3 linked regions of the Drosophila melanogaster genome follow. The protein of the gene in region 2 interacts with the protein of the main gene of each other region in a pairwise test. Each region holds a gene or a part of one and is shown on either strand. Other genes may lie near its edges.

Evidence for each region. Proteins that work in one complex are often made in the same cells at the same time.
Region 1: the proteins of Glyp (region 2) and CG1894 interact in a two-hybrid assay, tested with the Drosophila melanogaster proteins (one large-scale study listed by BioGRID).
Region 3: the proteins of Glyp (region 2) and CG3397 interact in a two-hybrid assay, tested with the Drosophila melanogaster proteins (one large-scale study listed by BioGRID).

What each region holds. Positions count from the first base shown.
Region 1 is NT_033777.3:28,481,529-28,488,372, reverse strand, and holds CG1894 (uncharacterized protein), read right to left. Parts: upstream 3,817-6,844; 5' UTR 3,722-3,816; coding exon 3,617-3,721; intron 3,536-3,616; coding exon 2,375-3,535; 3' UTR 2,311-2,374; downstream 1-2,310. Other genes in the region: Dhc98D (dynein heavy chain at 89D), read right to left, coding at 160-180, 308-890.
Region 2 is NT_033779.5:2,127,835-2,138,705, reverse strand, and holds Glyp (glycogen phosphorylase), read right to left. Parts: upstream 7,894-10,871; 5' UTR 7,695-7,893; coding exon 7,452-7,694; intron 4,268-7,451; coding exon 3,739-4,267; intron 3,669-3,738; coding exon 2,062-3,668; intron 1,976-2,061; coding exon 1,820-1,975; 3' UTR 1,410-1,819; downstream 1-1,409. Other genes in the region: tho2, read left to right, coding at 548-722, 780-823, 912-1,037; CG4259 (uncharacterized protein), read left to right, coding at 9,499-9,573, 9,636-10,373.
Region 3 is NT_033777.3:11,980,788-11,987,406, forward strand, and holds CG3397 (uncharacterized protein), read right to left. Parts: upstream 3,755-6,619; 5' UTR 3,722-3,754; coding exon 3,293-3,721; intron 3,238-3,292; coding exon 2,699-3,237; intron 2,497-2,698; coding exon 2,436-2,496; 3' UTR 2,311-2,435; downstream 1-2,310. Other genes in the region: mfas (midline fasciclin), read right to left, coding at 4,212-4,700, 4,762-5,444, 5,517-5,985, 6,048-6,333, 6,398-6,589.

The DNA of each region.
Region 1 (6,844 bases), on a different chromosome or scaffold from region 2:
AAGTGTGGACCAAGATTTTCGTTTGATATCAAGTTGGACGGGCTACAAATTTATGCATCGCCAAAATGGGGAAAATAAAGGAGGAAAAACTGAAACTTTTAAATTAAAATCTTTGGACAGTAACAAAGGAAACTCAAGTAATGCATCCATCTTATTTACCGTTTTCCGTATCGGAGCTGGCTGAAAATATGGTTTTTATGTGGTTACAGAGAGATAATTGTAAAAGTTTAATCATAAGGCAGATATTCCTTTTTCTTCAGTTTAGAACTAACCCAAAAAATCCAAATATTATGTAGTTCTGACTTACGTCTGGATCGAGCTGAGCTCTTGCCACTCCCAGCCACGGTTGCCTCCTCCTCGCCCTCCAACTCGCCTTCTACCTCGGCATCTGTGGTTTCACCACCAGTGTTGACCTCTTCGACGGCCTCTTGATCACCACCGGCTGGTGCCGCTGCATCCTGGCCAGCTTTCTTGCGTCCCTTTCCGGCTGCTCCTGCCGATGCACCTGCTTTGCCGGCGGACTTTCCGCCCGCCATCCGGGCATCGCCCTTCTTTTTGCCCTTGCCTTTTTTGTCGGGAACTGTGGGTGGTGGGCGCGGCACCTCCTCCAGCACGGTAATCTCCTCCTCGATGAGTTTGTCGTAGAAGGTGCGCCAGAAGAACAACACCACGAAATCCAAATCGTTTTGGGTCTCGTAACGTCGCTGGAAAAAATTCTCCACGGCAGGCATATTTTTGCTGATCGTTGCATTCACATACTTGGGTTCAAAAACTCCCAGCATATTGGACATAATCGTCTTCAGCCAGACGATACGGGGTTCAACGTTGTTAAGGGACTCTGCCGTGGCATCGGCACTGTCTGAGGTGGATTCAAATTGCGTTTGTGACATGGTGGTCGTCGCTTATTTGAATAGGTTCTTGAAGTTGGGCGGTGGAGTGGGTTTCCGATGTGAGTGGGTTTTGGGTCCCTTGCTTGCTCTCTTTTGGTTGTTTGGCTGCCACGTCGGCGTCTTCGCGCGGCTGAACATCAAACGTTTGCCTTGATTTCGCAGGATTTCTCGTTACAAACAGGATCTCTCGTCCTCCCACTTGGATGCCAACTTGGTGGATGCCCAACCACCTTTCCGTTTTTGTTGTTCTTTCAATCAATTTCAGCTGCCTCGCTGTGCAGTTTGGTTTCGCTTCCGCCACAGAGTGCTGGTGTATTTACTCCCGGGCGTCTGAAAATCCTTTTGTGTATCCCAGGACAACAGTTGCGGCTGCAGCTACGGCAATGGCCAATGCCAGCCGTCTAAAAACCAAATATGGAATGCCTTGAAATGTTGTCTTTGGGCCACACTGTTCAGATATACAGGTACACAATTTGTTAACGGCGTTTGATGAAAGTTATTTCCATTTCCCTGACGAAAATATAGCAGGGCTGCTTTGATTAAAGCTGTCGAATAATAATAACGACGTTGCTTAAATTGTTTATGCTGCTTGTTTTGATTCCATTTCCCGGCTATGTTGCTGGTTGCCTTGACTAGCTGTTGTTAGGGCAACCCAATCCTACCCAACTCAGCCCAGTCCAACTATCCCCAACCCATCCGATTTAATGTAATTTCTGGTACCCCCCTTCCGGTTACCTGTCAGCCGCACTTGCAACATGCAACAGTCGAATAGCAATGCCAGAGCATTGTGGGCCCTTTGAATGCACCAACGCAACACAACACATCCCAACCAATCCCCTGCCAAGTTATAGAGCTCACGCCGTTGCGTAAACAAAACACGCAGCCCTGACTTAATGGCTATGCACATTAGCAACGTGCCAGGGACTTTCCCAGTTGCCAGGTCTCCGGGTCCAGGTCAAGTAGCCCCGTAGCCCCCTTGGCTCCTGGGAAGCGGCGGACGTGGAACGATGGCCACGCTCAATAAGTGTATGGGACCATAAATGGAAATATTTACTCGGCACCGTCAACACGGCAAAGTGAGTTGAGTGAGGCTGTGGGTTAAGTAAGTGCAAGTGCAAAAGTCAACTTTGCCCGGATCTCAAATTGCCTAACAACCGACTGCCAGGCTCTTTGACGACTTCACTTAAAGTGCATGTGCCGTTGCTACCATAAAAGTTGCGCAATCAAACTTCGCAGCCACTTCAATGGGCTTGAGGAATCAGTTCCATGGGATGTCATCGATTTTTCATTAATACCTGGATTTTACCTAATTTCCGCAGGCCTTGAATTTTGATTATCTCGCTAATGTGATTTTTATTTTAGACTGTCTAAGGTACACCGCAAAAAATAAAATAAGATAAGGACATTCTTGTAGATGAGTGCAATCAGTTTACTAGTGTAAATTGTTGGCATACAAAGTGGCATACATATATCATGAAAATGTTCTACTTTCGTCCTGTGGGTGTCTTCCAGGAGAGGCGATTCCTGTGAATGGTCAACCTCGGCTTTTTAAACTGTGCGAGCCCACGGCGATCTTCAATTATCGATGAAGTAGTGTAGAACATGATGTGGTCAACCTTGTAGTACTTCGTCATCCCCATAAATTCTAAAGTGCTTATTATGTCCTCCTCGCGGAAGCCAGTCGCTTTGCTCAGCTCTTCGATGGTCACCAGGTCCGGTGATGAGTGGTGCCTCAGCAGATTGAGGAGGATGTGGCCCCAATAGCTGAGGTAACAAAGTCTGGCAACTTTCGACAGCGGCTTCTTGGGACCTCCGATGCATGCCTCCCTGCGAGAGATCTCGTAGCTCAGATCAATCAACAACTTTCCGTATCCCTTGCGCATATAGGGCGGTAAAACAAGGATGCAATTCAGGTTGATATTCAGCATAGTCTTCTCCCTGGCGAAGTAACCTGCAAAGTGCTCGCCATCCTTGTCCTTCAAACACAGGATATAAAACAAGAACGAACTCGAGCTGTAAAGAATTTTCTTGTTTTCCAGAAAGAGCTTTGACATTAGGCAGAGGCACTGGCAATACAGCTGCTCCTTATGGCCATCGACCTCGTAGATATAAATATTGTCTTTTCGGTATAACAAGCTGCCCGGCGGACACCTCTTCTTGCAATCGTATAGGTGGTAGGAGTAACTTTTCCGCAAGCACATGTATTTTAGGCAGAATTCACAAACGTAAATGGTGGTCGCCTTGTCGTTTATTACAGGATAGGGACTGGAAGACGTGGTCTCGATCTCGTAACGCCCAAATTGCACCTTTTCGATGTTTCTTATGACTTTCACTTTCGCGTCCTCTTTCTCTTTCTGGACATCACTTTTTTCATTATCTATTGTCTCCTGGCGCTGGCGATCATCCACATTGCTACTGGCATTAGTGTGTAATAAAGAAATCATATTAGGTTCCTTGACGCCTTCCAATTGCTTCTTCGGTGTAGCCCCTATTCTTTGAGCTTCGATGCACGATCCAGTAATGGTTTTAGTTTCCTGAATGTTTTTTTGAAGAGATGAATCGTTCTGAAGCTGGGATTTCCCCATTTCGGACTTAGAAGCACTTTGGCCTAAACCGCGAGTCGCGGAGGATTCCTTGGCATTAGTCTGAAGAGTGGCAAAAAAAAAATAAATTATCAGCAGTTTTTCATTCCTCATATGATATTCTTTGACCAGTATTGTTCTTACCAATTGCAGGGCTCTCGGAATGTCCGGCAATTTCGAACTTATCCCGTCCTGATCGCCCAACGGCTGATACTTTAAATGGTCACCTGATCTGTTTTCCTTGTCCATTTGTCAATTCCTATTGCGAATTTCACCCTTTTTAGAAAGCGTGGTTTTTCACTAGTGATGACACATTTAGCTTGATATCGATTAGTGATATCAATAATGAAACGATAAAGTTTGTTGTCAAAAAATCGAATCATCTAAGGAAGCACCAATATCAAAGCATTAAAGTTATTTTTAAATTTTAATTCCAATTTAACTTTCTGAACATATATTGAGCAAAAATATATATTATACAATAAGTTGTATACATTTTTTTCAGTGAGAAAACATTTCGGGATATAATCTCAGTCCTACGCCACACCCTGCTACCTTGATCTATCGAAGACGCCAGTGCAGGGACAACCCGGCTCAATACTAATTAAAATAAATGAACATTTACGTCGTCACAGCAGGTGGATGTGAGGGCGAGAGGCCAGGAGACCGGGCGAAAGATTAGGTGACGAGCCCGGGCCAACGGGAGACATCATTAAAATGCATGGTTCAAACGGTGCGTATACTTAATATAGATTGGATTGAGAGTGTGTGGATGGCGGGATGGGGGGGGGGGGGGGGTTCTAGCAGGATGGAAAGCTCCTGGATGAGTTGGCTCCTTTTGCTACAGCATTCGCTTGCGGTGGCTGTAATCTTTATGCGCCATGTTTTTATTTGTATTTATTATTGCGTTTGCGGAGAGCAGAGTAGCGAAGAGCACACTTTGTTTGCAGGTGAAATATTCCACGCATCCAGCGAAATGAGAATTTATTGACTTCACTCTGCATATGTGCGTGTGTCTGTGTGTGTGTGCCTTTTCTATAAGAGTCTCTGTTTGCGTACACGTAAAAATATTATAGCGATTTGATATATAGCTTTGTGCTGCAAAATATCTATGCGCTGCAGAAATATAAAAATGTCATGTCTCTACTAGAGAATATTACACAAAAATGATTAAAATTATATACATACTTCGAATCTCATTAAAATCAAACACTTTTTATTGCTGTGCTGCTTCGTTTCCGCTTGAAACGTGCCCCCACTGCATATTTATCTACGTCACACAAGTTTGATAAACACAACCATGGCTTCGAGACAACTCGAACGTCTGTTTGCATTTGTGCTTAATAACTTTTAAATGATGCGGGGAATGCCTTTGAAAACGAAGTCAACTGAAAGGAGGTTCCTGGGCCCCGGAGTCATACTCCCTAATTAGAGCCGTAGAGTCGTAGGTGTGTGCAGAACTATTCAAACAGGCCAAAGAAGTCGAGCTAACTTGAAGCTTAAATATTTTTAATAAAAATTCTTTTGTTATTTCGATATGTTTAAAGCACAGCACAGCTTCTTGTTAATGTATATATACATATACAATATTCTAATCCCAGCTTAATTTCACGCCTCCAAGCTTTTTGGTTCCTTGTTATTACTCGATACCATCAGTCTTATAAAAATATTAAGGCCAATGTTTGGGCTGGTAGCTCTGGATCGATACCTATTAGCCCTTGACCTGTACGGTGAAGATAAGCGCTGGGCTCCCAATGGGCTTTGCGAAACGGTTTCCATGGGGCCACGTAGTGTTGGGTGGGTTTGGACGGGCTTTTGTTTAGCCAGCTGAACATTTGGAAAATGGTTACAAACAGTTTTGAATGCCCATAATTGATGCAGGAGGAGCATGCCCAGAGCCCGGCAATCGCACTTCAATATGCATGCCAGTGTGCACTGAATACCCAGTTCCAAGTTACCATCCGGTTGGAATCAAACCAAGTGTGGTCAGGCGTCTCTGCTGGGCTGCCGGATGCAAAGCCGGAATAGTGGTCGGTCGGGTTGCGTTAATTAATAAACTGGGCCTACTTTAAGACGACGCCTGCGTTGGCCAATTGCCATGGCATCCATGCAGTCGGGCAACTAGGCAACTAGGCAGTCGAGCCGTAACCGCAACAACTTCAATGCAGTTTTGTCTGCCACAAAGCCGAATTTCAGTAACTGGCAGAGATTGCATCCTTTGCGGATACTTAACGAGTCGACGCCTGAGGAACGGTCCAATCCCAAACTGATGCCCTCAAAGCCGTATAATTGGCCAGCGATGCGCCATCATCGCCGGCATGGACTCGATCGATTCCTTTGAGCATTAGCCAAATGCCGCATTTTTGAAGTAATAAAGCACAGGTCAATCTCAGTTGTGGTTGCAGCCATATCAAATCGCACGAGTCCACAGGAATTTGGAAGCTATTTGTGCCACTAGCAGTATGTTAATATAACACACAAGTGATGCTCAAAACAGGCTCTTCGTTAGCCAATTCCAGCTGAGTTAATCAACTTTAACTGCACCTTCATATACTAGGGATGCCTTTAGTTGATAAAGGTTTGTTAATTAGATTTTGATTCGTTTGTTGCTTTTCTTTCCCGCGAATTCATTGAACCCAAGTTTTGCAACGACTTGTGTGACCATTTGGCTTGGTTACCCTCGTTCTGAATCATTTGGAATGCCCTTTAGTGCGCAGGCTAATTAACATAGTCTGATTGCTGAGTCAGTTCCATTTACGTCTGTTAAAATCCTTCTGAAAATGGAAAAGTTTTGAGAAAAAATGTAGCGTTGTCTTCAACAATATTATTCAACATTTTAGCCACCACCCAGCCACCTCATTCGCATAAGCAAAGTCAAGTTTTTGGCCAGAGTTGCAAAGTTTTTTGACTGGCTCAAGTTTTATCATATTTTTGCACAGGCAAATCTCAGCGAATAAGTCTCCGTTGCTCCGACTCTCGGTTCAATTTGCATACAGAGTTCGAGCATTATTTTTATTTACCTGATTCAGCGCTGATTTATGATTTTATCGTGAAAAATGCAGAGCTGCGGCGGACGAAGGACTACGAAGACGACAAGGACGTGGACGTGGATGTGGTGGAGAGCGAAGCTCACGGAAAGTCAATTGAAATGCAAACGTGGCCAGTGGTTGCCTTCCGGTGTCCGCGTTGCTGGGTGTCCGGGTGTTCGGAAGTGGATCCCAAGCTCCTCCTCCTGCCTCCATTGTTTGTGTGCACCATTGCGTTTGGCCATAACTCAAAGCTTGAGCTTTGTTGCCCACCAATTGCTCGGGCGTCACGTGTTTTCATTTGGCGCCTCTCGTTCTCGCAAGGACGCCTTGTGCCAAGTGCTCG
Region 2 (10,871 bases):
AATCTTCAAAATCAAACGTTCCACCTCCGACTGCCAATGTGAAGATGTAGATGTCAAGCATTATAAAACCGGATACCAACTCACGATGTCAGCGTGGACAAAGCCATTTCAATTTCTACATGGAACAAGCGTTATAAAACCGGATTTCAACTTACTGTGCAAACGAGGACAAAAGCAATTCAATTACTCTGTGGAATATTAGCTTCTGAATAATTCTTCAACATCGGTCCTGTGAAAACCCCAATGCTCCCGAGGATTCGTAGTGGATACCCGACTCAGCCGCTTCTCTGACTTCCAACCTTCAGTTACCTGTGCAGCCCAGTTTAGTTGTTAATTCGTTGATATTGAGACTGTGCATGGGTAAGTAATGGGCGCGTGGTGGGGTCGGCGGACATATAAACCATATAGGACAGAGGACACGTAACAGACACAGTAGTAACATTTGGCTTTTTGTTCGTTTTAAGTAGTTAGACGCATACCCTTAAACGCTTAGATTAAGCAACAGTCTTGACATGTTTTTACAACCATTAATCCCATGCCGTTCCAGAAGGTGGAAGAACTGGTGGACAGCGTAAAGAAGGCGCGCGCCCTTAAGACCAAAGAGCGCAACAAGGACAAACTGTCGGATGAGGAGCGAGACGCTCGCAAGGATCGCAAGCTGGGACGCAAGCGGGATCGCGTCGACGAGTCCAACAGCAACGAACATAAACGCCGGCGCGAAGGTGAGAGAATAGTCATTTATCGGATAGTCAAGACATTCAAAAGCCAACGATTTACAGGACAAAACGGTGAAGAAGAGCTGCGGGATAGAGAGCGGCATAGGGTGAGTGATATATCCCAATAGTCGACAACATTCCCAAGTTCTGGAATTGCGTACTGGAATTACAACTAATGTGGTTGCCAATCCATAGGAGAAGTCACCGCGGGAGCGATCACATGAAAAGTTCGATAGAGAAAGAGGAGGAGCCAGCGGTTCGCGGGCCGAGGAGCGGCAGTACATCAGCAAGTCCGCTCGGTCCTCCAGAGTCAACTATTGATTGCACTCCGGGCTTTTGCTTGCCCGTTCCGTGCATTGTGAAGCGCATTTTGTTTAACTTTTAAAGAATTTGGAATGGCCTTTCCATCCATTGTAGCAAAGAACGAAACTACTTTTGAAATGTTTACAAGTTTTAGTGACTATTTTAAAACAGAGATCCAAACAATTACATTGTAAAAATGACTACATTTTTGTGTTGTTTACTAAACGGGAACTGTAATAGCCATAATATTTGTATAAAAAGTTCATTCCCCAAATAGATGTTCAGATTGTCTTTAAAACAAATAATAAATTGTTCATTTGCAATGAGATTAAGATGTAAACCCTTCGTGTTATTTATTTATCACCCAAGCGACAGTGAAACACCAGCTTTCTATTTCGAATCAAATTTTATTCAATTTAAATTATTTTTACATTTAACAGTTGAACTTGAGGTTTAATCTCGATTTAAAACACGCATATCAGATATCTAAACAAGCTTGCCACTAACGTTTTTTACAACTCTTTCCATTATTTTAAATAGACTTTTCTTTTACTTTGAAAGTGTTCCTGAGGTCTTTTTAGGTAGGTACCGTTGTTGATTCGATTCGATTCGATTCCACAGTGATGAGAGAACTAGGCGAATTGTTTATCTTGATTTTTATTAAATAAAATATTAACAATTCGGTGCTGTGGCCCGTGTTCACTTCATTTGTTTTAGTTGTTGCTTTTGGCGCCTAAACTTGAACTTTGACTTTAGCAAAAGTAAAGCACATAAATAATAAAATAATATCAAAAATTGATTTAGTTCTGTGGCTGATCCTCCGGCGCTGGCAGCTTCTCCCAGGTGGGCTCCACTCCCCAAATCTCGCGGGCGTACTCGGCGATGGTGCGATCCGACGAGAATTTGCCGCTGGACGCAATGTTGTTGATGGACATCTCCAGCCACTTGGCTTGGTTCTGCAAATTAGGCAAAAGTATCGTGGTTTAAATAATGATCTTTGCTACTTATTTTTCTAATACATAGTTAAGCTATCGAATCTCACCTGGTAGGTCTTGGAGACCAGATCCTGGGCCTTGATGTACGCATCGTAGTCGGCCAGCAAGTAGTAGTGGTCGTACTTAAGCAGAATGTCGGCAATGTTCTTGAACTCGTTGGGATTGCCGGGGCTGAAGAATCCGCCCTGGATTTGGTCAATCACCTGCTTGACCTCGGGGTTGGCGTTGTAGTAGTCGTAGGCATTGTAGCCCTTCTTCTTGAGCGCCTCCACCTCGTCGACGGTCATGCCGAAGATAAAGATGTTGTCCAGACCCATCTCCTCGGCCATCTCAACGTTGGCACCGTCCAGGGTGCCGATGGTGAGGGCGCCGTTAAGCTGGAACTTCATGTTGCCGGTACCAGAGGCCTCTGTGCCGGCGGTCGAGATCTGCTCGGACAGATCGGCGGCGGGCATAATCTTCTCGGCCAGGGTGACACGGTAGTTCTCCAGGAAGATAACCTTGAGCTTATCGCCCACAATGGGATCGTTGTTCACAACGTTGCCCACGGCGCAGATGAGCTTGATGATCTGCTTGGCCACATAGTAGCCCGGAGCAGCCTTGCCTCCGATCATGATTGTCCTCGGGGTGAAGTTGGCTGTGGGATCCTTCTTGATCCTGTTGTACAGGGTGATGATGTGCAGGCAGTTCAGCAGCTGGCGCTTGTACTCGTGAATACGTTTCACCTGAATGTCGAACATGGAAGAGGGGTTGATCTTAACGCCGTAGTCCTTCTCCAGAATGGCGGCCAGCTTCAGCTTGTTCTCCTGCTTGACGCGGGCTACATTGCGCTGGAAGTTGGGGTCCTTTGCCCACTTCTTCAGAGCAACCAGTTGGTCCAGATGCACTGGCCACTCGTCGCCGATCTTCTCGGCGATCAGGTCGGAGAGTCCGGGATTGCAGAGCAGCAACCAACGACGCGGGGTAATACCGTTCGTCTTGTTCTGGAACTTCTGGGGCTCCATTTCGTAGAAGTCATGGAACAGCGAGTCCTTTAGGATCTGCGAGTGGATGGCGGCCACACCGTTGACGGCGTGGGAGCCGACGATGGACAGATGAGCCATGTTGATGCGCTTCTCGCCATCCTCCTCCACCATCGACATGCGGCGCATGCGGTCCAAATCGTCGGGGAACTTCTTCTTCACATTCTCCATGTGCAGGAAGTTGATGTGATAGATGATTTGCAGATGGCGGGGCAGGATCGACTCCAGCAGGGAGACGGGCCAGCGCTCCAGGGCCTCTGGGAGCACGGTGTGGTTGGTGTACGCGCAACTCCTGACGGTGATGTCCCATGCCTTCTCCCAGGTCAGATGCTCCTCATCGACCAGGATGCGCATCAGCTCAGGGATGGCCAGCGATGGATGGGTATCGTTCAGCTGAATGGCCACCTTGTCGGGGAAGTGATCGAAGGTGTTGCGGACCGCCTCCCGGGATCCGAACTTCGAGGCCTTGTAGCGGCGGATGATATCCTGCAGCGTGGCGGCGCACATGAAGTATTCCTGCTTCAGACGCAGCTCCTTGCCCTCGAAGAAGTTGTCGTTGGGGTACAGGACACGTGAGATGTTCTCAGCCAGATTGCGGTCCAGCACGGCCTGGATGTAGTCACCATCGTTGACTGGATAGGTGAAGATAGCCATAGGTTAGTTCTTGCCTTATCAAGGGGACCTCTCCTTATAGATACTTACAGAACTTGAGGTTGAAGTCGATGGGCGACTTGGCGGACCACAGACGCAGCGTGTTTACGTGGTTGTTGTTGTATCCGGGAATGGGGTTGTCGTAGGGCATGGCAAACACCCTTTGGGTGTCCACCCACTTCTTGCCCTCGGGCGTGTCGATCACACGGCCGTAGAAGTTGACCGGCAGCATGAACTCCGGACGAGCCTTCTCCCAGGGATTGCCATAACGCAGCCAATCATCGGGCTCCTCCACCTGCTCGCCGTTCTTGATCTTCTGGGCGAAGATACCGTACTCATAACGGATGCCATAGCCATAGGCGGCCAGACCCAGAGTGGCCATCGAGTCGAGGAAACAGGCGGCCAAACGACCCAGACCACCATTGCCCAGACCGGCGTCCTCCTCCATCTCCTCCAGGTTCTCGATATCCAGACCCAACTGGTACATGGCCTCCTCGCACTCGCTCTGGATTCCCAGGTTGATCATGGTGTTGGTCAGTGAGCGACCCATGTAGTACTCCAGCGACAGATAGTAGACGCGCTAAAAAAATACAGGGGTCGTTATTAGATCTATTGTATCCATGATTAATTAGCAACTATATTGGAAGATCGAAATGTCATAAGATTATTTCATGAGTTGGATTCAGATTTCGTGCATTTCCGCAGTGCATGGGTCACTCACACCAGGTTCAGCTGTACAGTGCATACAATAACTATAATACAACGAAAGCCTGATAAGAGGGGCGCCGACTGCGGCTGAAAGACCTAGTTATGTTTGGCCAGAAGGTCAACCAGTTTCCAACTTTTACGGTTCCCAACGGAATACTCGCTTATCAGCGAAAAATCGCACGGTAATTTCAGGGCAACCCAACTGGAAACTATAAATAGAGGAAGGCATTCACTATCACCGGTTCGATTCAGTGCGAATCTATCGATCGATGTTACGAGGGCATTAATTGGGTTTATAGCAACGCTATCAAGCGATTGCAGGCTGCACTTTGCATGCTGGGCAAACATCATGGCTAAGCATGAATCTATACAGCTTGGAATGGCGATTATTATCACCAGCCAATGCTGGGCTAATCATGGATCGATCACGGATCAGCAATCACCAATCAGCATTGACGACAACATCGCCCACAGTGTCGCCAGTCAGTAGCTAATGGCTCCCAGGGTATGCTAATCCTATCCCTTATCAGTCAACCTACCTATGTAATCTATGCCCTAAAACGCATACCTATCGCACATGATGCTTTCAGATGTCTGATGCTATGCGATCCGGGAAAAAAACTATAGCTAATTAGTTCGGAATGTTTGGAGAGCTTGTTTTTGTGTGCATATTTGTAGGTGAAAGGGGTTAAGGCGCCTATATAGAATCGGGGACTTTCGATTAGGAATATTTTGCAGTCCATTTAGCAGATAAGATATACAGAATTAGGTGAACATGGAGTATGAACTGATTCGGGCAATATGTGCTGGGCAATGGAAATGCTGTGATAAAACACATTATTGTTTATATCTATATAGGTATACCAAAATATGAACTATAAAAGTAGGTATTTTCTTAGTTATGAAATATGAGGTGCACTCAGTAAATACTGAGTTGGAAAAAATCCAAATATTAAAACCAATTCTAAGCATGATCTTCTTTGCTGCAGAAAAAAAAAGAAGCTAATAACCTATTTAGCTTATCTAATCGAAGATAAGAGCTTCACAACAAAACGTGAGTAATCTTCCAGATCCATAAAAAGCTTTTGGAGTCATTCAACTGCCGGCGCTAATGTTTTCCACAGCAGTTTGTTGTGTAGGGTCTTTGATATTCGTTCTGGCCAGTTCTACAGACGAATTAGATGCCAGACATATGTTTTTTGCGGTTTTGATAAAGAGCGCCTCACCAACAAACGACCAGTGTTTGTTTGCCTTTGTTTATTGGTTTTTTTTCCCTATATGCAATAAATAAATGACAGATGTGCATAGGAAGTTGGAAATGCAATAGGTAGTGGCGCCCTGGCATTGAATTTTTACATGATCGGTGATAGCTAAACGCTTTTAATTTGGTGATAAGTGGAACAGTATTTTCGAACTGCTTGTGGAAAACTACAGGGAAATAAACTCTTTTGTGTGACTATTCACCCCGCTGAACTTTCTTCAATTTGCATAAATTGGTTTAGAGACCGATGGACGCCAAGTTGTCTTCAATTAACTCTAAGTACCAATCCACGCACAACAACAGCTGTTTAAGTATCCATAAGATACAATCGTCGTCAGTTCATATATTTCTATTTAGATGGTTGCGTGAGCTAATTGCATGTGGGGGGACAACTAAACAAAATCGGGCCTATAAAAGTTCCACAACCTGAAAGAACTTATATATACATACGTACATATATATATATTTGAGAACGAACAAAAACCGAAATGGTAGCCAAAATAAAAATGAGAGAGGAAAAATGGGGGAAATTTTCCTTGATATTTTTGTCAGTTGGTTGTTGTTAATAACCTTTGATTGACCTTGAAAAAATGTGTGCCGACGCCGTGACGGTATCCACAATTTAGTTGAATTGAAAATATTTATCACCCAAAAGTGTATATAGCTCGAACTTCTAGTCGCCAAAATTGCTCGAGTCAATGGAAAATTAATAGATACATTTTGGTGGGCTTGAAATTGAAAGTGATTTAAGCTGACATTCAGCAAGGACAAAAATGTTTAGCAGCCGATGCTGACAAATTTGCAAATGGAAAGCTCACGCTTTGGGCACGTGTTTGGATACATGTACATATGTATGTATATACATATATTGTGTATCTGATGGATGTGGCTAAAAGGGGGCACTTATTATGCACCCTTGCCCTACTTAAACTGCATCGCCATGGCCCCAGGAAAACTTATTACTAAAAACTCATCAATATGTTTGGATAGAGCTACTTCTATAGTAGCTCGGCGACAGCTGCTAAATGCAGAGCTATTTTTAAGCTTTTGTTGCTTCGTCAGCTGGCGGGGAAAATTGTCAAGTGGGCGCGTAAAAAGGGGGTGGCTGATAAATTCGCCGGCTTTTTGCAGCACCTCTGCAATTTGTTGCAGTGAAAGTGTCACACCTTTTTTTGGCGCTACTTCTTTGGCATTGATCCCATTGCAGTCTTTGCTTTTTGGCAATTTCGCGAATAATTAAATGAAACGAAACAATTATGTAGTAGCAAAACAACGAAAGCGTGGGAAATGCAGTAAAAGCCGAAATTTCAAATAAACAGTGAGCATTCGGAAATTTTTAGAATTTTAGAAAATAAGGATTAAAATAGGATTATGAAATGTTGCATGGAATATTCATTTATAATAATAAAAGACATAGTGGAAATACTTGGGATAAAAGCAAAACTGCTTCAGTTATTTATGAATACGTTTATCGTTTCCCATTTAATTTTTAGTTTTTTTTTTGGCTGAGTGTTCACTGTAAATTCGTTGGCCAAAGCGCATCGGGGAATAAATCAGCAGCGAATAAAAGAGAATGGAGCAGGCCGAAAAAAATGTCGTAATAGCCAAAGAAATTTAGGAAAAAATATTTCAAAGGAAATTATTTCAAAAGTTTTGGTTGCCGCAGGAAGGGATAATCAGGCCTAAGAACTCCAGAGCCCGGATAAAGTTAGGTTAGGTGGTCCGACCACTTCTTTTTGGAAAATTCCACGGACTAAATCAATAAGTGGGTGGCCTGGATGGGCGCGGAACTCACCTTGGGATCCTTCTCGTAGTAGTGCTGCTGCGTGCGAATCCAGCGGCCCACCATGTTGTCCTTGACGGTGTTGGCCAGGGCGAAGTAGTAGTCCCTCAGGGTGGACACATTGCGATCCTTGACCAGGGTGTAGTGCAGGTGGCGATTGAAGTTCTTCTTCACTTCGGTGACATTGCCCACCTCGGCGATCCCGCGCACCGAGATCTGTTTGCGCCGATCGGCGTCGGATTGGGGCTTCGACATGGTGTCCTAGTTATGTATGTCCCTTCTCTGTGGCGGCTCTATATAGTTCTCTGATTCCGTTGCGTGGGTGCGCGTGTGTGTGTGGCGTAGACCCGTTTGCGTGTGCGACAGCGAAGAGGAGACGGAGACTATAGACACAACCCAGACCTGAACCTGAACAGACGACCGTTCGCAGCAAAATCCGGAGCGATTCTCACTTTATACTTTCGGCATACTTTCGGAGATAGCTTTTGCGCCAGAGCTTTTCTCTCAGCGTGCTGCTCCCCTTGTAAACAACTCCCAGCGCACAGTGGGTGCGCTGGGTATCAACTGCTACGAATTATCATCTAGGGGATATAATACAACAATATAGGTTGTTTTTTAACTATACAACTAAATATTAAATTTTCGATTTTTATATTAATCATTTAAGAATGAAAATTTTGTATATTTCAATAACAGATAATAACTTTTATCAGTATATTTTGACCATATCGCCCACTGTGCGTTGCTGATGCAGCGGTTCTTATCTCGCCGGTGCATTTTGCTGTCTCTCTCGCACTTTAGCTATGCTGTATTCCTGCACTGCTCCCTGTGCTCTCGCTCGCTCACTGCCTCTCTCTCACTGGCGCTCTCTTTTTGCCCCAGTCACCTTGTGCGAAGGTCATACATGCGTATTTGTTGTTTATTTTCTGTTTTTGTTTCATCTTGAGGCATTTGTATGCTTTGGAATAGAACGGGTGGCGCCCCCATGAATCGGGTTTGAGCTTTTTGAACCGACGGCTGTCAAATTGAAGCTTTTAACCATCTGTTGAGTGCGGAGAATCGTGGCGGGCTGGATATTGGAGATGCCAACTTGCTAGGAATTCAAACTTTACCAATCTTATGGATACTTTTGTATCTAAGAGATACTTTTAAAATCTGATGCTTTTGTATCTTACAGATATTTTGTGTTTTATATATCTCTTTGGGTACATTCGTATCTTGAGCTTTAAGATTTACGTACTGATATTCTAAAACAAGCGTTTTCAAAAATGTTGTCACAGAATTGATCTATTTAGAAAGCGCACTGAATATATGTGCTCTGCTGTGCCTCACTCGACTTGTGCAACAAATGCTAATCACAGGACAAAGGGCATCTGCAATTCTATCCGAACAATTCAGTTATTCCATTTCTTGTTTATTACTTCCCATAATGGCACTCCCATGTTCAACTACTTGGGAATGCATGCGGAAAAGTCCTTGAAAGGAGGGTAAAGGGGGGGGGTAACATTGCAAAGGACCAAGGCGCCGCTTGTTTCGTGAGCTCACCATTTGTTCGGCTATTTCGTAGCAAATGAAAATGATTAGCACATTTGGCAGGAGGAAAGTGAGAGCAAACCTTTTGGACATCTGCCAAGTGGGCTGCCATCGAAGTGAACGCCATCATTCATAAGCTTGTCTGCTAAAAATTTAAAACTTAATTGGAATCTGCTGCCTCATTCTGCCAACCGTGCGCTTGTTGACTCCTCGCACATATGTATGCGCTATTCAACTAGTTTTTGTTATGTTTTCTTTTCATTTTTTGTATTCAGCTGCGAGTATTATGAAAAAGTTACACTTAGGCGAAAGAAAAGTTCGCTGAGAGAAATTAGACTGCATTTGCTTGGATCGTTGTGAAATAATATAACGAATGCTGCGAATATTTTTTATAATACAAGTGATTTATCTCAAAATACTTTGTGGAATTCTTAAAACGACGCATTTTACTGATAAGCAGAGTGCTGAGTTCGCAGGGTAAGTTCTAAGTACTCGATTTCATTTTGATTCGAACACTCGTTGCGGAATGTCGCTATACTTTGCGTTTCTCACGACACTGATAATCAGCCTTGTGAATAGTCAATACTTTAACTACAATCAGGTTAGTTTATATAATACTTGTACATAGATATAAAAAATACTGAAATGGAAATACGCATGCAGATACGACGTGAAACATATGGCAGTAATCCCAGAGCGACATTTCCCTGGGTGGTTTCTGTGCTCGACCAGAGGGATTGGCTGTTTCGCTATATAGGAGTGGGATCTCTGATTAATCCAAATGTGGTCCTTACTGCCGCTCATATTCTGAATGGAACAACCAAGTATGATCTGGTGGTGCGAGCTGGCGAATGGGATACCTCGACTACGGCTGACCAGCAGCACGTGGATCTCGAGGTGCTGAATATAGTCTCCCATGAACAGTTCAACAGATTCAATGCCGAAAACAACATGGCGTTACTCATTCTGGTATCCGCATTTGAGATGACAGCCAACATTAATTTAATCCCATTGTACCTACAAGAAGCTGGTATTCAAAAAGGATCCTGCTTCTTCAACGGCTGGGGAAAAGTATATTTGAACTCGACGGACTACCCCACCGTTCTCAAGACGGTCCAGGTCGATCTTTTGAGCATGGGTATGTGTAGCTCTCGAAAGCTGCCCATCCAGCAAATCTGTGGGAAAGGTCTGGAAGGCATAGATTGCAGTGGAGACGGTGGGGCTCCTCTGGTTTGTCGGATACTTACATATCCATATAAGTACGCACAGGTGGGCATTGTGAACTGGTTAAGTCAAAAGCCTGTCGAAAATACATTCATCGTCTTTACGAATGTAGCTGGTCTGCTCCCTTGGATTGACTACCATTTAAGACTTGAAGCGAACTTTCGTCCCAGAAGTTGAAAACTAAAGCCTTAGGCAGTTAGCCAGTTATTTATTAAATCTTTATTCGGAGAATCAGAAAAGAGAGCAAATAGTTATCTGCAGTTATTTCCTAAATAAAATGTGGCCTGTGTCCAATCACAAACATTCTACCACGAAAATTTATATATACATTCTGAGTAAAAATACTATTTCATTATCAACTTAAGTCGCTCAATTCAACATAATCAGTTCAAGAAGTGCTGTGCAAGTATTATTTTATTACTTCGTACCATAAACTTTGTTGCTGCGCAACACGGCGGATGCGCGATGTTCATTGAAAATGCTTTTTATATTCCTAGAAAAATAACTTGTAAATATTGTATTGTGCCTCGTTTTTTCGCCAAGTGTACAACGCAAGCAGAAATAATCTCGGCTAAAAAATCGCATTTAAAAGATGGCAGGTAGCTGAAATCTGGAGAGGTGGCCAGGAGTTTTGTGGGTGAAACGGCGTTCAAAAGTTAAAGTGTTGCCATTTTT
Region 3 (6,619 bases), on a different chromosome or scaffold from region 2:
GGTTTCTCACTTTAACAACTTAGCCGTGGATAAAGTGGATCCCCAACTGTAGGACTTGGTAAAGACGCTGAAATAAAGACAGAAAAGGAAACCAATGTACGGTGTCGATTAAATAGAGATTCACCATTAACCAGTCTGGCTAGGTTGAGGCCTAGTTCGTGACCGTGATGCAATTGCAGGATTGGTAACACCAAATCCGACTAACCAGTTGTTGGCCAACTTACTTTTCGCGCAAATACTGCAGCACTTCCTGTTCGTGGGAAGTGAGACCGTCGAAGATCGCGTCCAGGTTAATCCGCAGCAGCTTTCGGTTGGGGATGCCGATGAGGAAGGTGGCCGCCCCATCCAGTTGCATCGTATAGTACATGGCCAGCTTTCCCAGCTCCACGTTCCTCTGCTGGCAGATTTCGGCCCCCCGTTTGGCCACGGCCAGGATTTCCTGACTACCGGGATGCGATGCATGTGGTCCAGCGTTTCTCAAGAGTCCCAATGAGTGAGCGGCCGCACAGACAACGCCCACTCCCATTTTCTGGAAGTCCTTCATGTAGCGCAGCAAGGTGTTGTCTAAAAGGGTGTAACGAGCATAGTTGAGCACCACCTGAATGCGACCCTTGCCCCGCTCGGCACACTCCTTCAGCACGTCCACATCGTAGGCGGTGACTCCGATGAATCGAGCCTTTCCCGCCTGGACGTACTCCTCGAGGACGGGTATGGTCTCATTCAGCACTATGTCTAGATTGGGTGCCGCGTCCACGTCATGAACCTGTCATAAGGGCCATATTAGTTCACCAGCTTATAGACGAATCTACCAAACCCACCTGTAGTATGTCCACCCTGTCCAACTGGAGCCGCTCCAGACTCCGCTTCACACTCTCCCGAGCTTTGTCAGCCGAATAGTCAAACATATTCTTCGGATCCAGCCCGTAGCGCGCCACTTTAGTGGCAATATAATAGGCCTCCCGGGGTACATCCTTTAGGGCCTGGCCAAGCAGCACCTCCGATAGAATGGAGCTGTGTCTATATAGTTAATGCCAGATCTAATGGCCTCCTGCACCATAAGGATGCCCTCCTCGCGATCATAGTCATCAAAGAAGAGATTGCAAAGGGGGGAGCCACCTATAGCTAATTTAGACACGTGCAGACCCGTGGATCCGAGTTGGCGGTACTCCATACGACGCACCTTCTCCTCATCGTGGAAACCCTTGACGAAAGTAGCTGGCAGTGATCCCGACATCCTTTTCTGTTCAACTAACAAGTTTGAATGAAAGGAACAACTAAAAAAATCGGGCTTTTATATGATTTGGGGACCAGGTTTTCAGATAAGAACTGTGGGGGTAAATAAGTAATTTTTCACTTTGTTTGAGTGAGTTCCGTAATATAATTGCCCCGATTAGCAAGATTTTCTTATTGATAAGGTGTGGAAGAGAATTCCGGCTCTTTGTTCGCATTATCAACTTAGCTCTCAAACAGTACGATTCTGAAAATCATATTATTGTATATCAGCCACATTTTTTAAGAGAAAAGCGAGCCATAGTTGCAACAACTAGTTGTAGCGATACAATGGGATTTTTGCGGCTTTTTTTCAGTGCCTGTCTAAGGAGCTCTTCAGAGTTAGTGCCAGATTTTTGTTTCGAAATCAAAGCTAAAAAAGAAAATATATTAACTTCTAAATTGCACAACATTTTTATAATATTTTATAAATATAAGTCAAGGCAGCTCACATAAATTGGCCTTGCCCTATATTATTGAATACATAATCGCAACTTCATCCAAAATTTCTAGAACTTTCTGTTTTTTTGTTTTCATTCGAATATATTGCGCGGTCTGTTGAAATTCGATCGGCAGTCAGAGAAGTACTGCCTGCTTAATATTATAAATATAACTTATATTCTGAACAACACAGATTGCCTCTTATCAAAGAGAGAATAGTTCTGTATCGGAGCGGTTTTAACGTGTTTGAACAAATCTTTTATTATCTCTTCTCGAATTAAAATTAAGAGAGGGAGTGGATTTTTTTAAGGGAAAGTAGTCTTAAATGAAAAGCCTCTTCAGAAGTATTCTGTTTTGCAATAAACGGTAGTCGCTTTTGAGAGGCTTTCTTCTCTTGCCTTTCTCATTGGATCTTTTGAGGCAAAGAAAACAAATATTAATCAGCTGAATCAAAGCTGTGTTTGATTATTATCTGTAATCTTAAATGACCTGAACTGTTGGCCCAACTGAACTTGATCTTATCTGGGAATAACTTAATCATAAATTTGCATAAAGTTTGCTTTAGGCCGACTGTTATAAAAAATAAATAGGTTCAAAAATATTCATTTAATATTTTATTTCAGTGAATATTATAATCTAAAGTTTATTTTAAATCCGTTCTCCCTGCATTACCAAAGATTTCTTGGTCTTGGAGCTCAAGTTCGATTGCCCGTCCAAGTGGTCGCTCATTTGAACATGTTAACCGTGGATAAAGTGGAGCCCCAACTGTAGGACTTGGTAAAAACGCTGAAACGAAGACAGAAAAGGAAACCAATGTATTGTAGCGATTGGAATGGAGATTTAACGCTAGCAGTCTGCTCTGGATCGAGCTACCATTAACCAGTTTGGCCAGGCCGAGGCCAAGTTCGTGCCCGTGATGCAATAGCAGGATTGGTAACACCAAATCCGACTTGCACAGTTCGGCGTAACCAGTTGTTGGCCAACTTACTTTTCGCGCAGATACTGCAGCACTTCCTGTTCGTGGGAAGTGAGACCGTCGAAGATCGCGTCCAAGTTAATCCGCAGCAGCTTTCGGTTGGGGATACCGATGAGGAAGGTGGCCGCCCCATCCAGTTGCATTGTATAGTACATGGCCAGCTTTCCAAGCTCAACGTTCCTCTTCTGACAGATTTCGGCTCCCCGTTTGCCCACAGCTAGGAGTTCCGGACTACCAGGATGCCAGGACTGGGGTCCAGCGTTGCTTAGGAGTCCCAGAGAGTGCGCGGCCGCACAGACAACGCCCACGCCCATCTCCTGGAAGGCCTTCATGTGGCGCAGCAAAGTGTTGTCCAACAGGGTGTAGCGGGCATAGTTGAGCACCACCTGGATGCGACCTTTGCCCCGCTCGGCACACTCCTTCAGCACGTCCACATCGTAGGCGGTGACTCCGATGAATCGAGCCTTTCCCGCCTGGACGTACTCCTCGAGGACGGGTATGGTCTCATTCAGCACCATGTCCAGACTAGGTGCCGCATCCACGTCATGAACCTGTCACAAGGTGTTAGTTTATAGACAAATCTATATATTGGTATACCAAACACACCTGTAGTACGTCCACCCTGTCCAACTGGAGCAGCTCCAGACTACGCTTCACACTCTCCCGAGCCTTGGCAGCCGTATAGTCGAACATATTGTTTGGATCCAACTCGTAACGTGCAACTTTAGTTGCTATATAATAGGCCTCCCGGGGCACATCCTTGAGCGCCTGGCCAAGCAGCTCTTCCGATTTGCCTTGGCCATAAAAGGGAGCCGTGTCTATGTAGTTGATACCGGATCTAATGGCTTCCTGCACCGTGAGGATGCCCTCCTCGCGATCGAAGTCATCGGAGAAGAGCTTGGAGAGAGTGGCACCACCCAAAGCAATTTTGGATACTCGCAGACCCGTGGATCCGAGTTGGCGGTACTCCATACGACGCACCTTCTCCTCATCGTGGAAACCCTTGACGAAAGTAGCTGGCAGTGATCCCGACATCCTTTTCGCTTCAATTAACAAGCTTGAATGAATAGAACTCCTAGAAAAATGGCACTTTATAAGTGCATAAAGTGATTTTAACATATGTAGGTATGAGTGAGTTCCAAAATAGATTTGCCTCCCTTAGCAAGCTTCTCTTCGTGATAAGCTGTGGAAGAGAAGGTTCGCTCTTAGTTCTTTATATATATTACTATGTAATTTCGCATTATTAATGTAGCTCTCTGTAAGAATGATTCTAAAAATTGTGATATCATATACCAACCACATTTTTTAAAGAGAAAACCAATTCCCAATTAAGGTAATTCCTTTTAATACCTTGCATGTGAACAATAAGCATAACTCCGATCATGTTTGTTTTAATACTATTTATTTTATTTATCAGAGGAGATTCTGAGCTTTTTGCGGCTTCCAATCAGTTGACAAATCGTTAAGAGTAAATATAAATATCTGCTTTATATATCAATATGCATGAGATGGGGACGAGCACCGCTCAGAAGAAGACATCGAAATCGCCCTGTGGCTGATAGCCAGCTCCGGGCGGGATCAGCTGGGGTCGCTGCTGTTGCTGGCGCTGTGGGCGTGGCACGATGATGTCGTTGATCTCATGGAGAATTCCATTGGTGGCCACCACATCGCACTTGGTGACGCCGGCGTTCTCGATCTTGGGACGACGATCGCGGGTGATACGCAGATGCTGGCCAGAGATGGACTCGATGGAGCGGACAAATGGCCAGTTGGTTGGGATAATGCCGGCACAGCAGACAACATCCTCAACGATATGGGTTTTGACCAAGGCCATGGGATCGGCGGGCTTTGAACCCTCACCGGACTCGTTCAGCTCCTCGAAGATATCGTTCTTTGGCACCAGCAGGGTGAGACTCCTCGAATCGTTGGACAGCAGCTGTGTAAGATTAGCCTTACGAACCAGCTCCAGGAACTTGCTGTAGTTGGGATTAGCCTCCAGCAGCTTAAGCATGTTCTGTGGAATATTTACAAATAAGCATAAGCTTTAAATTCCGTGATAACCTCGTAGAACTCACATTCTTGGGAGGCGCCAAGGCACGATCCACCTGGTGGAGAACGGATCCGCAGCTCTCGTCATCGAAGTGCACCAAACGGGCACAGTTTACCGTTGCCCGGTTCATCACGTCCGAGAAGAGAGCATGGGTGGAGTACAGGTTCAGACGCACACTAGATCCAGCAACCGTGGGCAGGGACTTCTCCGACAGGTCACAGGTCTTGATCATGGGCTTGACCACATGGTAGTTAAGGAACTCCAGCAGATCCAAGTTATGATTCAGCAGCTCCGGCTGTTCCTTGAGCATGCGAGCCCATTCCGTATTCTGCAGAGCCTTGTCAGTTGGTGCAAAGATGGTCACGTTGTCCAGATCGTCGAACTGATCATCGTAGCCGGAGGCCTCCAGCAATCGCTGGAAGATGGTCAGGTTCTTTTGCGACATCAGCGAGGTCATGGGCAGAGCCGATTCGGTGGGCAGGATGGTGTCGATTACGTGCAGCACACCATTGGTGCCCATGATATCGGCATCAATGATTTTGGCCAAGTTATTGATGTAGATGGGAGTCGGTCCAGTCTGATTCGCAGCGCGGTGGGTTCGGTTGAGGAGCAGGGGTTCTCCCAGTAGATTGTAGGCCGTCGTCTTGGCACCCGGAACAGTGGCCAGCGAGCAGAAGGTGAGGTCCAGCAAATGGTTCTTCAGGATGTCTACCGGATAAATGGGAATCATATTATATTAGTTAGTTAGCTGCTTGTGGATAAGTTTCCAGACCAACTCACTGGAGGCACAACCGCGACCTTCCTTGAGGGCTCGACGCAGATGAGGTTCCAACTTGTCGAAGGCGGCATCGGTGGGCACAAAGATGGTCACTGGCTTGTCATCCTCTAGCATGGCGCTCAGGTTGGTCTTCTCCAGAACGGTGCGCATAATGGACATATCCGCACGCTCCCTGATGATATCCATAAGGTTCTTGGTCAGCGGCTTCAGGACTCCGCCCAGAGTGTGGACAAGGGCCTGCTCCGAGAGCTTGTCGTGCTTCTCGATGGGCACACAGTTGGCGGCAAAGCGGTAGGGTTCCAGGCCCAAAGCCGCAGGCAGCTGGTAGCTGTTGATGCGGATCTTCTGGTCAGGCAGCTCCGTCTGCAGAAGCTTCTCATTGGGCACATCCTCCAGCTGAACTTCGCCGAGAACAGCGTGCAGTTTGTAGATGGATGGCTTGGAAGCCTCGGCCTTGGCATCTTCCACATTCTGTTGTACGCAAAGAATTCTCATTTATTTACATGAATTTTAGTAACCAAAGGCATGCTCACATTCTCCTGCTGATGATGACCACGGTACTCCATGAAGGCGGCGTCGTTGGGCACGAAGAGGGTCACCTTCTTGCCACTGCCTGCTCCGAGCATATCGGCCAGCTCACCGGCGGTGCGTGCACTCTCCAGGAACTGCTTGGCACCCATGTCACTGGCCGTGGCCTCCACGTCCTTGATGTCGATCTTCTCGCAGGGCGTTGTGAAGTCAGCGTTTCTGGGGCGTCCATATCCATAGCAGCACTGGCGGGTCAGCGTCAGCGTTTTCTTCTTGCCATTTTGATTCACGCTGCAGGGGATAAAGTGTTCAATCAATTGGATGAGATTAGGTAATCCTACTGTAATCTGCTTACATCTTGGTGCAGACGTGCTTGTTGGGCTTCTCGGCGCAGGAGTTAACGCTGAACTGGAACTGGCCAAAGAGTGGGGATCGCACCACGTTGGTAACGCCATCACGTTCCTGGCCAAAGGTGTCCACGGTTTCTTCTGCCTCCGTTTCACTGGCCACAGTCTCGTCTTCCTCCTTTTCGGTGCACACATTGGGTCTGAATAAAGCGAAAAATTGGTTATTGGTT